Astyanax mexicanus: one gene and its partner. The protein of the gene in region 1 purifies or fractionates together with the protein of each later gene. This does not show direct contact. Links are inferred from orthologs where the notes say so. Each region holds a gene or a part of one and is shown in the gene's direction. Other genes may lie near its edges.

What was found.
Region 2: the proteins of chd8 (region 1) and kpna5 purify together in Homo sapiens (affinity purification with mass spectrometry; 3 studies listed by BioGRID and IntAct, with this or other methods). This does not show direct contact. The link is inferred for Astyanax mexicanus from reciprocal best matches to the Homo sapiens genes CHD8 and KPNA5.

What each region holds. Positions count from the first base shown.
Region 1 is NC_064415.1:51,094,247-51,101,480, reverse strand, and holds the start of chd8 (chromodomain-helicase-DNA-binding protein 8), read left to right. Parts: upstream 1-3,999; 5' UTR 4,000-4,107; intron 4,108-7,234. UniProt on the Homo sapiens protein: ATP-dependent chromatin-remodeling factor, it slides nucleosomes along DNA; nucleosome sliding requires ATP. Acts as a transcription repressor by remodeling chromatin structure and recruiting histone H1 to target genes.
Region 2 is NC_064411.1:31,759,100-31,767,099, forward strand, and holds the start of kpna5 (importin subunit alpha-6), read left to right. Parts: upstream 1-4,755; 5' UTR 4,756-4,865; intron 4,866-6,188; 5' UTR 6,189-6,198; coding exon 6,199-6,327; intron 6,328-8,000. Other genes in the region: zufsp (zinc finger-containing ubiquitin peptidase 1), read right to left, coding at 396-503, 624-686, 2,195-2,302, 2,399-2,933. UniProt on the Homo sapiens protein: Functions in nuclear protein import as an adapter protein for nuclear receptor KPNB1. Binds specifically and directly to substrates containing either a simple or bipartite NLS motif.

The sequences.
Region 1 (7,234 bases):
TGATCATCCATCTTCCTCTTAATTATGTTGATTTGGTAAAATCAAAGAAACTCGTCATTTTTAAGTGGTCTTTTATTTTTTTCCAGAGCTGTATTATTTTTCCAGGTTAACAGAGCAAACATGGTTATCTTGTGAACTCAGCATAACTATGCAGGGCAGTGTACCTTCAGGAGCAGGGATGAGATATACTGCCATAGGGGTGCTAGCGGAAATTAGCATTAACATAGCTTAATTAGGTTTTCTCTCCTAATTGGCTGCAGTTTGACAGGTTCAGCCCAAACTGAAGGGCTGGTTCTAATAGTCACAGTTCTCCACTAATAGGAGAGCCATACCTTCATAGTGGAAAACAGTTACAACATACAGTGGCACTGGTCAGGGGAAGACAGATGGAGCTTTTGGCAGGCAGACCTTCACGCCTATGCAGGACTCCTGTGGCTGTACCAGGGTATCCTGTCACTATCAGTCTTTTACGCTCAACTGCTTCAAAGACACACTTAAAAATAACCCTCTATCTCTCTCTCTATTTCTCTCTTTCAACAACACACATTCATACATTGGCACAGTGTACATACACAGGTGTATAATACATTAGATCATTGTCATTCTAGCTCATCGTACTTTTGGCACATTCTAGCGCTTGTTCAGACCTACGCCTGTAAGCAAATTAGCTGTAGAGTAAACTGCTATCTATCTACTGTAAGCATTATCTGCTCCCACTGCTACCACTAGTCCTGCTGGCACCCACTAGAGAGTTCTGGAGTGTTAGGGGAAAAGCCCCCAGTAAGCCTCCATACTGTATTTTTCGCGCTATAAGGCGCACTTAAAATCCTTTAATTATCCCAAAAATAATCAGTGCACTTTAAAATCCGTTGTGCCTTATGTGTGAATTCTACCAGTCAGGTTGTAAGGAGCAGTAAAGCCATTCTGCTGAAGTACAGCGTTATACAGGCGTTTCAGTTTAGTTCTCAAGCAATGTTAGCATTAGCCTCTAACCCCAGCTAGCACTGCTGGAGCAGAATTAGCATTACTCGCTAACCACGCTAAGTGCTAGCTCTTTCCCCGTTCAGAGTTCAGTATTATCGGACTGTAGCCTTCTGCTAGCCCCGGCTACCACTGCTGGAGCAGAATTCGCGTTACCCCCTAACCACATTAAGCACTAGCTCTTTCGCTACTCATAGACAAGTATATTGGCCTGTAGCCCGCTTGTTTACTGTGTTACTAGGGTTGCAGCGGTAACCGGTTTCACGGTATACCATGGTATTAAAATACACGGCTATCATACCGTGTGTGTTTGCTTACTACCGGTAAAACGCAAGCCAGCGGAGAAACTCATCCGCGCATGCGCAGCTCTGCTCCGCTTCAGCTACTCAGCACACAGCAATGAGAACAGCAGAAAGTGCATCAGACTAAACAAATCTCCGTCCGCCTAAAAAAAGGCTAAACTAAAATCAGCAGTGTGGGACTATTTCAGATACCCACCGAACGCACCCGAGGATGGTCATCCGATTTGTAATCAATGTGGCCGTAAAGTCACAGCTAAAGGTGGACATACGTCAAACCTGTCCCCCATCTCCGAGAACACTACCCCGCTGTGCAGCGCAAAGTATGTGTTTAGTTTATAATTTTAATCTGAACCTAAATAAAACCTCTTTTTAGTCGTGCACAACCCATGCGGTAAGCGCCGAAGTTATCAGAAATTTGGGCACACAGGTACAGGCGTGAAGTGCATGCTACGATGGATTCACGTGTCCGTGTAAAGGTCCTGGCCGGACTGGATGTGAAAGACGCTATTCATTTATATGCGTTCATTTTCAAATTCTGACGTGCCTGTTTTTCATATGTTAAAACCAGACTCGGCGTGAAAGCCTTAAAATAGAAATCCCTATTATGAGGATCATGTCAGAAATAAATCCCCTCTTTCTGCAGTATCTGCTTATATACCAACGCAGTAAAACAGACGTTTACAACAGTTGTTGATCAGACACTGATCCAGGCTCAGTTTATCAGATATTAAATAATTTAAACTTAAATAATTGTACTGAATATTTTAAATACAGGATCTTTACTTCTTAGAGGACATGTAATGTGTGTAATGTGTGTGTGTATGTGTGTGTGTGTGTATGTATGTATGTATATATATATATATATATATATATATATATATATATATATATTATATTATATTATATATATTTATATATATATATATATATATATATATATATATATATATATATATATATATATATTTTTTTTTATATATACTCTTAATGCCCTTAAGAGTAGTGGAAAAACCTGGTTTCCTTAACCTGATGGTGTACAGCTTATTTTTTTTAGGGAGAAATTATCTATATAATTGTTCCAGGTTTCTACAATAAATAGTTAATTGAACAAAAAACTCTTGTTGTAATTTCTTTAAGGGTCAGTATAATGATATATGTAACAAACTGTGATACCGTGATAACGGTGATACCTCGGTATTTTCTGAGACGGTTATCACACCGTGAAAATCTCATACCGTTGCAACCCTATGTGTTACAACAAGCTACATAGGACAAACCACTAGCTAATATCACCCTGCCTTACGTGTAGCGCCGTCAGTTGGCATTTACGCCTCGTTAGCGCTAGCAGTTATCTGCTAATGCCGCTCCACCCAGTCTTAGTGGACATCTGGAAATCTAAGCTTACTGTTAATAAAATAAAGCATTTTTTTCTCGCCCAAATAAACAGTTTTTAGGAGAGAAATCTGTGTAGATTAACATCCAGTACTCGTTTATTATGCCACATGTTTTTAGAACGTTCCAGCTAACCTTCATGGAACCTTTACCTTTATATACAACTTTTATAAAGTTCTCTGTTAGCAAGGTAGGTGTCATTGCAACAAGATGATCAATAAGTGTTAATTCTCTTCACCTTCAACAGATTGTCAAAAAAAAAAAGGAAAATAAAACAAAATATTCCCGTTTTGTTTTTTTAAGCCTTATTGCACTTCGTGGGCATTAAGTGACACTACACACTCATGCATAGTAATATAGTATATATAGTATAGTATAGTAGTATAGTATAGTGTGTATGTCAGTCTATAAAAGAGTATTTTTTTTTTTGCTTAAAGAAAAAATATAACATAAAAATGAAATACACTTATGGGATATTTATGCTATCAATGCGTGAAAATGTACCATATAAATTACATTACGTTACATTTGGCAGACGCTTTTGTCCAGAGCGACTTACAAAAATATGTGTTCCCGAACAGCGTGGATTACACCTGCTTTGCTAAGACGTCCATACGGGTTAATTTGTCTATTTGTTTCCATATTTCTTTCCACCTTAAATGAACGTAATGCTGCACAATTTAAGGTGGAATGTTTAAAAAATAGAAAACGTGCTTAAAAGACATATATTCTAATACATTTCAAATAAATACATAAAATATTAATTATAGGTAGTTTAGCTTTATGATGAACATGAGGCAATATGTCTAATAATGTCTAATAATATACTGCGCCATTTAAGGTGGAACGGGGAAAATTAACTGAAAGAAGCAGCAGAATTTCAGGATTGGTGTTGTTTAAAGCGGGGGATTCTCGGGGCTGTGCTGATGATATTTTACTGCCATCACCGTGAATTCTATCAAGCCAGACAGCTCGGGAAACCCCCACTGATGAGAAAGATACACGTTCAGGTCTAGAAAGTAAAAATCCATCGCAGGGTTTTAAATAACCTGTATGTGCGCCTGTATAGCAGCTACGGAAATCCCGGGGTGGATTTTTACTCTCTGGACCTGGATCACCCCACCCGCTGTACTGATAGAGAGCAAGTAGGCCGCATTGACTGCGACCTCAACCGAACTAACTACCTTCCCTGACCGAGCCCGCCCTGTGATTATTCCGCACGGCGCGGTGACGGGCGTGTGCTCAGGCCAATCAGAGAGCTCCGCAGCGCCGGGTCCGGTCAGCGTTGCCCAATCAGAACGCGGCGGAGAGGGATAGGGGAGCGCCTTCGACGGATCTTCCTGGCGAGAAGATAGTTCCTGCTGTACGCTGGCCGTTTCCTGTAATCGTACAGTGTTGTGAGACGGAGAAAGCCATGTGTGTCGATGCAAAGGTAAATTTAGCACCCTGAATTTATTACTGAGAAAGTTAGACGAGCGAACTGTAGCGTTTTAGTGGGTATTTAACCCGAGTAAACAGGTCAGCCCGACAGAAACAGCTTTGCGGCCTGCTCCGTGTGTGTTGGTAGTCAGGGCTATGGGTTTTGTAGCACGTTGCCTTTGGTTTGGTCCGGTTTGTTGATGATGAACGAGAGGGATGAAAGTAGCTAAATGATGGAGACTCGTATTTTACACCTGTGATGAATGAAATCAACACCTCCTCTTAGCTTCACTTTTCTCCTGTATCCAGCAGTATATGAATGGCCAGTGAATGTAGCTACAGCTCACATTAATAGGCAGGTTGGTGCTGCATGAGGACATTTAGCAATAGCAGCAGCAGCCCCATTTCTGTCCTAAACTTTTGGCATCATATTTATTTAAGTATTTTATTATTGTTAATTTAGAAGACAACAGAGCGTAAACTGAAGTAAATTTACAGTTACAGTACGAGTTATTATCCGTTTTATTATGTCAGTTCATGTTAAACAGAGCCTAGGCTATATCTTGTCTCTTGTTTTCATTTCTTTATTTACCTGGTAAGTTATATACAGTAGGTTACAAGACTAAAGTTTGGTCACACTTCTTCTCGTTCAGTGTGTTTTTTTTACAGTGTACATAGAATATTAAATGAATTAAAGCTATACAGCAACACATTATTAGGCAGGCTGATGCTACACGAGGACATTTAACAGCATCCTCAGGTCTGCCCTGAACTCATAGACGATTTTATTATAGATACTTTTAAAGATCACAGAACATAAACTCAAGTAGATTTAAGGTTAACTTACTTCACAAGTTATTACCTGTTTCATTATGTCAGTTCTTGTTAAACAGAGCATAGGGTATATATTGGCTCCTAAATTTCCTTTCTTTATTTACCTGCCAATATATACAGCTCTGGACATTTAACAGCAGTAGCCACATTTCTGCCCTGAACCTTTGGCTTCATATCTATAGAGTATGTAGAGAGTATTATTATTAAGACCACAGATTGTACATTAAAGTATGTTATTAATCTATCTGCTTTATTATGATAAACTAGATATGCGTTCTTACTACTGGTCACTGGGTTCATCTTAAACAGAGTCTAGGCTTTGTGTTTTATCCTTATTTTTATTTCTTCTATTTGCCTGCCTATGTACAGTAGAATAGTCTAAAGTTTGGACACACCTCTTCTCATTTCCTTGATTTGTTTTACATTGAAAATGTAATATATTGGAGATGCAAAATAAAAAAAAAATACCCAAAAGTGTTAAACAAACCAGAATGTCAACCTAAACACCTCCTGTTAGCTTCACTTTTCTCCTGTATGCAGCAGTATATGAATGGCCAGTGAATGTAGCTACAGCTACATAGGCAGGTTGGTGCTGCATGAGGACATTTAGTAGCAGCAGCCCCATTTCTGCCTGAACTTTTGGCGTCATATCTGTAGAGCATTTGATTATTGTTATTTTTAAAGACCACAGAGCGTAAATTGAAGTAAGTTTAGAGGCACTATACGAGTTATTACTTGTTTCATTGTGTAAGTTCACGTTAAAGAGAGTCTAGACTATATATTAGCTCCTACTTTCATTCCTTTATTTACCTGGCAAGTCATATACAATAGGTTACTAGTCAAAAGTTTGTGCATACCTCTTCTTATTCAATGTGTTTACCTTGTTTTTGAATTTTTATATTGGTAGTCTTAAATTGATTTTTTATTTTTGTAAACAAAAAGTTTTAAACAAACCAGAATATGTTTTATATTTTTAATTCTTCTATGTAGCACATTTATCTTTAAGGATAGATTTTTCTCAGTGTCTTCCTGAGGTAGAGTCACCTGGAATAGTTTTCTCAGCACTAGGTTCTGAACAATAGTTGCTGTTTTTTCTTCACACTGTAAAGCTCCAGCTCATCCCAAATCACCTCAAATCACCATCTCAGTTCATTAGGTTTAGATCAGGTGATTGTAGAGGAGCACTTTTTTTTTAACCGTTTACTATGTAATTTCATATGTGTCCCTTAACTGTTTTCAGGTATTTAATATTAATCTATAAAGTCTAAGAAATAAGGAAATCATTAAATGGAAAAATAATTAATTTTATACATTTCTCTCACCTGTAGGCTTACTTACCAAAAATAGTCACTGAAAACCTCACTGAATGTTTACAGTACACAGCCACTTTAGTTACCTACTAGGTTATATTGTTTACAGTGGGTGCCTCACCTTACACACTATATATTTCTGCTGCTGTTACCTTTAAATATTCTTATCTTTGTATTTTATTGTTGGGTTGTTTAATATTTACTTTTTAAAAATGTACTTCTGACTTCACAGCCACTGCAATCTAGTTATAACTAACTATTAGCTACGTTTGTTATGTTAATTAATTTATTAAATGTTTTACATAATGTCCCAGATATTATTGAGCCATACTTATTTACTGTCAGTGTTCGACCGCTTTATTGCACTGTTATGTTAATGATTCTATAGCATTATGATGCATTATCCTATAGTATTTTAAAGACCTTTAAATTGAACTATGAAAACTATTAAATATCCAAAAATGAACGACTATATGTTTTCAAATCAAATTGACATACCAGCTGATTTACATTAATTTGTCTCATCACTCAGTAAACACAGAGAAAACTAAGGGCTGGTGCTGTGTATGGGAAAGAACTCAAGATTCACTAGTTTATCACGATATATTGAGAACACATCAACAATTATTATTGTAAAAGTTTGTAATTGCTGTTATAATAAACAGTGTTTGATCTCTTTAGTCCTAAAATTAAAATTAAAGATTTTTTTCTTGCACCATTAAGTCTGCTATAATGTGATAATACAAGTGTCAATAAGAGGGATAAATCTGCTGTAGTTTGAATGGGATGATGTATGTAAATGAGTCTGAGTTAGTGAGATCACAAAAAAACATCAAATATACAACCAGCTCAGTGTTACAGCTTATAGACTGCATAGTGTGTTTTGAAATTTGATTGCTTTTTGCAGACCAGTCTGCATCAGAGTATTTTATCTATATACAATAGTGAGGAAGCTAATGCTATGTAGTTTGAAGTGTATTATATTTTAGTGAAGGC
Region 2 (8,000 bases), on another chromosome or scaffold:
CAACATTACCTTTTACAGGGTGTTGAATATCTTATAAATTGATATGACTGACCTACCTGACCTTCCTTGGTACCACCTACCAAGGTGTGCAGTTCTCCTCACTGGTAAAACAGAGCGTTTCTGTGATAGTTTTATATTATATTTTAAGCTCCACTGTAAAACTATCCCAGACTGCAAATTCTAAATAGACTCTTTAGTTTATCATTTGAGAACTCTCCTCAGTGCTGCTGGCAGGGCAATAACATCTGTTATTGACATATTAAGGACACCAGACCCGAAACTCAATTGTCATAAATGGACATGATTATGTGTCCTACGTCTAATACACATTATCGCATCTTTATGATAGAACAGAATAACTGCATAATGCTTTGCTGATATTTCCATCAATTTACCTGCAGCAGCAGCCGTGCCATACTCCAGATGCAGCTCTACATGCTCCTGCAGCGAGCTGTTGTCCACACAGACCAAGGAACACAACGGACACTCGTACAGTGGAAAACCTACCGGTTCCAAATTAAAGCCCAGGTAATGCACAGCTGAATTTAAGCAATACAATGCATTTCCATTTTAGACACATTTTTTTAATTCATGCACCAATCCAATCAAATATCTTTTTTCACCTGGTTCTCCGTTTCTCACAGAAGAACATGCCTGTGCTGATGCTCCTGCTTCAGGAACAGCTCCTGAAAACAACAAAATAGCATATGCAATACTGCCTATATAGTAAGATTTATGGCTACGGCACAGAAAAACAACAGTGTTAATAGTATTATACCCTACTTGGATGCAATTCATTTTACAGTAAATGTTACATCAGTAAAATACACTTATAATCAAAAATGAATTGCACACAGAATTATGGCTGCACAATATATCATTTCAGCATCGATATTGCAATGTATATATTTTGTATACAGAACTAGTTTGCTGCTTAAGAAATAAAAATCAAACTATTCTTATTTTACATAATAATATCTACCAGATAAACAATTATATCTACCAGGTACCATTTATTTTACTCCAATCATTGGTGCACCGATTGCATTATTATTATTATCATGACGTACTGGATTATTGACAAGACAGATTGTAAATTAATACTAAAGCTATCCAGACTATGAAGAAAAGCATATGGAACAAAAAACAAATGTTGAAGAAAGCAGAATCTGTTTTATACTTTAGATTCTTCAAAGTAGCACCTCTTGCTTAGATAGAAACAGCTTTGCACATCTTGGCTGGATTTTCTCAGTCAGCTTTATGAGGTAGAGTCACCTGGATTGATCAGCTTTCGGTTAACAGCTGTGCTGAACTTGTCAAGAGTGAATTACTTGAATTTCTCTTCCTCTCATTGTGTTTGAGAGCATCAGTTGTGTTGTGGAGAGGGAGAGTTGGTAAATTGTAATGTAAATTGCCATTAAGTATGCTTATTATTTCTATATTATTCATTTATTTATTAGTATTTGCTTCTGTTAGTATAAATATATTGGTTTCTGTATTGTGACCTGCCACAGGACAGCTTTAAAACACGAGGCAGTGGACAGACTTGTCTTCCTGGCCCGCAGCCTGTAGTAGGGTATGTCTGGTGTGAAAATTTGACAGCACTAATAGACAGGACTGCACTAATGAGGATTTATTGAGCACAACTGAGTAAATTATATGTTCTCTTTTGTTTACATTGGAAAGTTGCTTGAAGATTTTGTTATAAAAAGAAAAGAATACTTTATTTTGTATGATAGGTTTTATTGATTTGGAACTGACCAAAGAATTTAGTTCTCTGCCTACTTTTTTATTCTGTAACATCTGATCTTTGAATGAAGTGTTATGCTTTTATTTATTTATTTATTTATATATATATTATAGTTATATAATGTTCATTTGTTACCTTCTGACTAAATAACTCCCTTATCTCTCACTTATGAGTAAAAAGAACCCTTTAAGTGTGACAGTGATTGATTTATATGGTGATACATATCGATATCGACTGACACGGAAAACTATATTGTGATAAGATTATTTTTTCCATTTCACCAAGGTCCTATTCTTGAGCACCTCTGTACACTCTGAGAAAATAGGCAATATTTAATAATATTTAACAAATAAATAGAAGAATCTATACAGACCCAGGAGCATCATAGCACATTTACACCAGACTAAAATCACTGAAAAACACCAGTAACAATCGCTATACTACCTTCAGATGCAGATGAAGCCTGGTCCTGGAGATGCAGCTCAACGTGTTCCTGAAGAATAAAGCAGTCACTGCAGACCAGACTGCAGAACGGACAGGGAAACATCCTCTCTGCAACAAAACGACCATAAATAACCAAACATATCCAAACAAAGGCCACTATAAAATAAATATAAGAATATATTAAGACATTTTATTGATGAATACCTTTCTTGGGGGAGGACAGGCGTTTCTGTTTGGCCTTGCAATGCTCTGCTGAGTAATCCTCAGACTGCCCAGGGTGGACGCTGGATGTTTGTTTTTTAGATGCGCTTGCTGTGCTTGCCGCAGGAGGTGAGGATTTAATCCTGGACTGGGCTCCTTGACCTTGAGTAAGTGCAATTCCTGCACTAGGCGCAGCCGTCTCATTAGCTGTTTTGAGAGTGTGATGACCTGATGTTTGAGGGGAAGCTGGAGTTCTCCATGAGTTACAAGAGGCTGGCGAATTCTTCACAGTCCATTTAGCACCATTGGTTTCAGTGGGGTCTGGTACCCGATCTGCTGATGCCTTGTCAGTGGGTGAGTTCTGAAGATCCATCTCTGTGTGTGCAGTACTAATGTGGAAGTTCAGCTCATCGTAGGAGACTCCTGATAGCGAGCAAAACGGACAGCTCATCTCATTTTCCAGGTGGCTCAGAAGGAGGTGGGTTTTTAATTCTGATTCAGATGCAAACTCTTGGCAGCAGATGTCACAAACAGGCATGGTGGGACAGCTTCTGTCAGTGGAGTACATAGTAAACGTGCAGAATCAGTAAGTGTTTCATGAAGCATCTCAAAATTGTACTGTTATAATATTATATTATATTATAATAATGTGCTTTTTAAAGGGGCGTAAAAGTGCTTCTCCCACTGCATTACATTAAAAGTCTCTCAGGGGCTACTTTTCAGTAGTGTATCACTTGGTGAGAGATTGTTGACTGCTAGACCTGCTTCTACAATGCATGTGAAGACATTTGCCAAGTTCACTTCAAAATGGGGTACATCAATGGACTCAGCAAAGCAGGATGGTCATTTTTGACAAACCATAAGCCAGTCATCCAGCAAACGTCGCCCTTTACAGTGGTGTTGTGACCAGGAAACCTGGACTGATAAGGACTAAAACCTTATTGACTTTAAGAAAAGCCTCAACCGCTGGGTGATACAACAGACAACCACTAAAATGTGCCACGTGATGCCTCTCACGGCAGGGCTTCCAACTGGAACAGTTGGAACAGGATAATGCTAACTCATTAAGGGTTTTAAACTCATCAAGGGTTTTACCAGGAATGCCTATTGCAACACTTCCTTGGCCAACTAAATTACCATATTTATCAACAATTGGGCAACCAGTTTGGTAAAGATTGTTATAAGGGTTGACCAGCTTATTCAGACTGGTTATTCTGGCTAACCTGCTTGGTAAGGCTAGTCTTGGTGGTCAACCTGCTTGGTCAGGCTGGGTATTGTGGCCAACCAGCTTGGTTGTGCTGATCATACAGGTCAACATGCTTGGTCAGGATGGTTATCCTGGCTAACCTACTTGGTCAGGATGGTCTTGATGGTCAACCAGTTTTGTCAAGCTGGTTATTCTGACCAACCAGCTTGGTCAGGGTGGTTATTCTGGCTAACATACTTGGTCAGGCTGGTTTTGTTGGTCAACCAGCTTGGTAATGAATGTTATGAAGGTTGACCAGCTTGGTCAGGCTGGTTATTCTGGTTAACCTGATTGGTCAGGCTGGTCTTAACGGTTAACCAGTTTGGTCAGGCTGGTTATTCTGGCCAACCAGCTTGATAATGCTGGTCATACAGGTCAACTTGCTTTGTCAGGCGGGTCTTGCTGGTCGATCAGCTTGGTCAGGCTGGTTATTCTGGCTAACCTGCTTGGTCAGGATGGTCCTGCGGGTCAACCGGCTTGGTATTATTTGTTTTGAAGATTGACCAGCTTGTACATGCTGGTTATTCTGGATATCCAGCTTGGTCGCAGAGCATGGTCAAGTTTGGATATCTAGCTAGCTTTTTTTGGTTTGTCATGCTTGTAGAGCAACTAAACCATCAAAGTCTGTGTTAACAAAAACAGAAACATACTCTACATTGGACAAAATCTAAACTGGTCAACCGGCTTAGCTTAACCAGCTGGAGCTGTGCAGTTTTGTTTACAGCAGGGATCTAAATCTAAATAAACACTCCCACATGCAAGTTCGTGCACTAGAAGTCAGAAATATGTTGCTTTTTTAATCAAACGAGGACGATGGCATGTTTTAGACAGAATGAATGAGCCCCTTCAATGTATTCAATCATATTCAACCATTCAGAGACAATAGAAACACACAGATAAACCTCCAGCATATCTAGCTACATTTAAATGGTGTAGGTTAAATACTTACTCGAGTTGTTTTAACCTGTTAATCAGTTTTTCTCGCTGCACCTCAGGTTCTCCGGGTTCTCATTTCACTGAAACTCAGCCTCTTTATTTTCGTTTTCCTCGCCTGACCCGCTGGAAACATCGCGGGAAGTGACGCGCTTCTCGGCCGTAACCTGGGGACGCCATATTGCCCTCCTCAGCCGGAGTGAATCGGGAAGGAGGCGAGAGGAACGGAACAGCAAATAAAACACGAAAAAAGCGACTATCCGCACAGGACTGGGGTCTAGAAGTGAACAGGTGAGCCTCAGTCACCGTCCGGTGTGACTTTAGGTTGGGTTAAGGGTGATTAGGGGCTTTAATTACGCTGAGAAAGGAGGGCAGAGGCGGAGTGACGTAGGTTAGCTAGCTTAGCATTAGCTCTGCTAACCTAGCGTTAGGTTAGCACTAGCGAGCAAAGCTGGTATATTTGGGTTGCGAAACCAAGAAAAAACAGATAAATTTCCTTCTTAGTGCGGATTAAAACACATTGTTCCCAGTTACATTGGTTTACCAGCTTGTAATGCTAACATACATCTTAGTTGGGTGCTGTTTAATGCTCCAAAATGCTGGAGTTGCCTTCTTAATCTAATTGTCCGTTCCACCTTATACAGGGCAGCAGTGCCAGCTAAATCCTGCAGACTCCAGAATTTAACTGCTCATATATGTTTATGGTAACTACTCTACTCTTTAAGGTGGAATGGGTGGGTTCAGTTTTGTGTTGCCCCACCTGGCATCTAGCTAGCTAGCTTAGTTAGCTAACGCTAGCTATCATAGCTTACTAATAAACCAGCTGTTATTTAGCGCTACCAGTTTTAGAACTCAAAATCCCACCTGATTTATTTTTTAAATACAGATTAACTTTTAAATACAGTACATTTTTAAGCTGTATAGTTAATATAACTTGTGGTATTTCTATAATATTGGCTGCTGAGACTAGCTAGCTAATGTTAGCATACAGTTATGCTAATGTGTTTAGTATAACTATATTCAGCTTTTCCATATTAAAATAAATAAAATAAAAACAGTTTGAGATTTTTTTAATCATTATTTAATGTTCTGTCTACACCACTTAAAGGATTGTTAAATATTGTTGTGCTTTAAAAGTGTCTTTAAGGGGCACTAAACCCCCTGATTTTTGATGACCCCACCTTCAGCTCAAATTTGGAAAAAGGCTAAAAATTGGAAGGGGCGTTGAGTGATGTATGGGTTTAGAGGTGCGGCAGGAGAGAGAGCTGATTGGCTGAGCTACTGCTGCAGCAGTATGCCTCTGATAGCAGTGAGACCCAGATGATTGGACGTCAGCAGGGGGGCGTTATTATTAATTGTCTGATCTGCATATTGTGAGTGTTAATAGTCACATATTAAAATAACTGATGTTATGTAAGAGCCAAAAATCTAAATTGTAATCGAAAAGAAAGTCGAAAGAATTTATGGATATTGATGACATTTTTGAGCCATCATCATGTAGTGCAAGTTTTAAATGTGAAATAAAAATGTCTGGAATTTTATATACTTATAAACTTGAAACTTTTGCACAGCGTGCAAGACCAATTTGATCAGCTTTTGCTGTATGACCACTAGGACAACAAAAATGGCGAGTCCAGGAAAAGACAGTTATCGAATGAAAAGCTACAAGAACAAGGCCCTGAACCCGCAGGAGATGAGAAGACGGAGGGAGGAAGAGGGCATCCAGCTGCGGAAACAGAAGAGAGAAGAACAGGTAGGCCTGTAAAGCAGTATTACTCAAGTACACTTTGTTGCAGAATCAGACAAATCCAAAGGGTGGAATTGGACCACGTCCAGTGGTTTGTTCCTATTAATTCGTATTAGTCTGAAATCCTGTAATATTTCCTCCTAATCTCTTTCTCTCTTGCTCTTACTCACACACATACACACAGGCTGTTTTTAGCTCAGAAATGATAAACTCCCGAAAGTTTTAAATACTCTTCTTACCCATGTTTTTAGCAGTTACACTCTGCCCTTCAGCTTCATTTAGTAGCTTGCTCCTGTACTTATGTTAAAAGTAACATTACCTCAACCAGGAAAACTGTAATTTATCCTGTGTTCTTCTAAAGCTAGGCAGTGTAATTGTAATAGATGTCCCACCTCTTACATGACTCCAGATTCTCCTGCATGCCAACCACAAATCATATTATATAATATCTTGGGGCAATCGAGCAAAACAGAGTGACCAACATTTGTTGTAGGCATGTGACAAGGAGAGCATCCTAATTGATCTCACATTGTGCTCAGTAGATCATTACAGAATTTAACACAGACATGACTCACATGAGAGATCTCATGTAGTTACAAATTAATGAATATAGGCATAATCTGGATTTGGTAAACAACTATGCTTTGTTTCATTTAGGCCAACAATTTTTGTACATACGATTCATATGATGGGCAGGTGCCTTCCTTTTGATGTTTCTTAGAAAGGTCTCTGGGTTTTCGGATCAGCACTAGCAGAAATCTGACGTCTGGTGTTCAAACAATGCAACTGCATGAGATTTCATAGTAACAGAATGTGGAATTGCCTGTTTCAGCCATGCACAACGTATAAGTTTATATATACAGCTCTGGGAAAAAATAAAAGCCACTTCAAAATAAGTTTCTTTGATTTTACCAAATTGAAAACCTCTGAAATATAATCAAGAGGAAGATGAATTATCACAAGCCATCAAACCAAGCTAAGCTGCTTGAATTCTTGCACCAGGAGTGGCAAAAAGTTATCCAAAAGCAGTGTGTAAGATTGGTGGAGGAGAACATGCCAAGATACATGAAAACTGTGATGAAAGACCAGAGTTATTCCACCAAATATTAATTTCTGAACTCTTAAATCTTAATAAAAAATATTTACTTGTTTTCTTTTGCATTATTTGAGAATTATTAGGAATTTGGGAGATTTTAGTTTATAGAATAAAACAATTATGTTCATTTTACTCAAACTAATACCTATAAATATTAAAATTGTAAAACTGCTTTACAAACTAATGTGGTCTCTTATTTTTTTCCAGAGCTGTACATAAAATATGTATGTAGTTCAGCATATTTTTGCAATTAAATGACATATTGGTGAAAATGAAATTTCACATATTCATTTTGCAATTAATGATAAATTAAAACGATAAATTCAGAATACAAACAGTTGTATGTCTAGGTGGAGGATGTGAAAGATGTTATGCAAAACTTTTGCATAAGTTTTGCATAACTTTGTGTCCAAAATCTTTCAAACACTGTTTTGGTAACTGTGCACCATTACTAAAGTTTTACAAAAGCTCAAAAGAGTGTGATGTGACTAACATAAATAGTAAATAGCTTGTTATTTATGTATTTTATTTTTTTTATGTATTTAGTTTTTTTCACACAAATTACCTATGCAAGTTAAATATA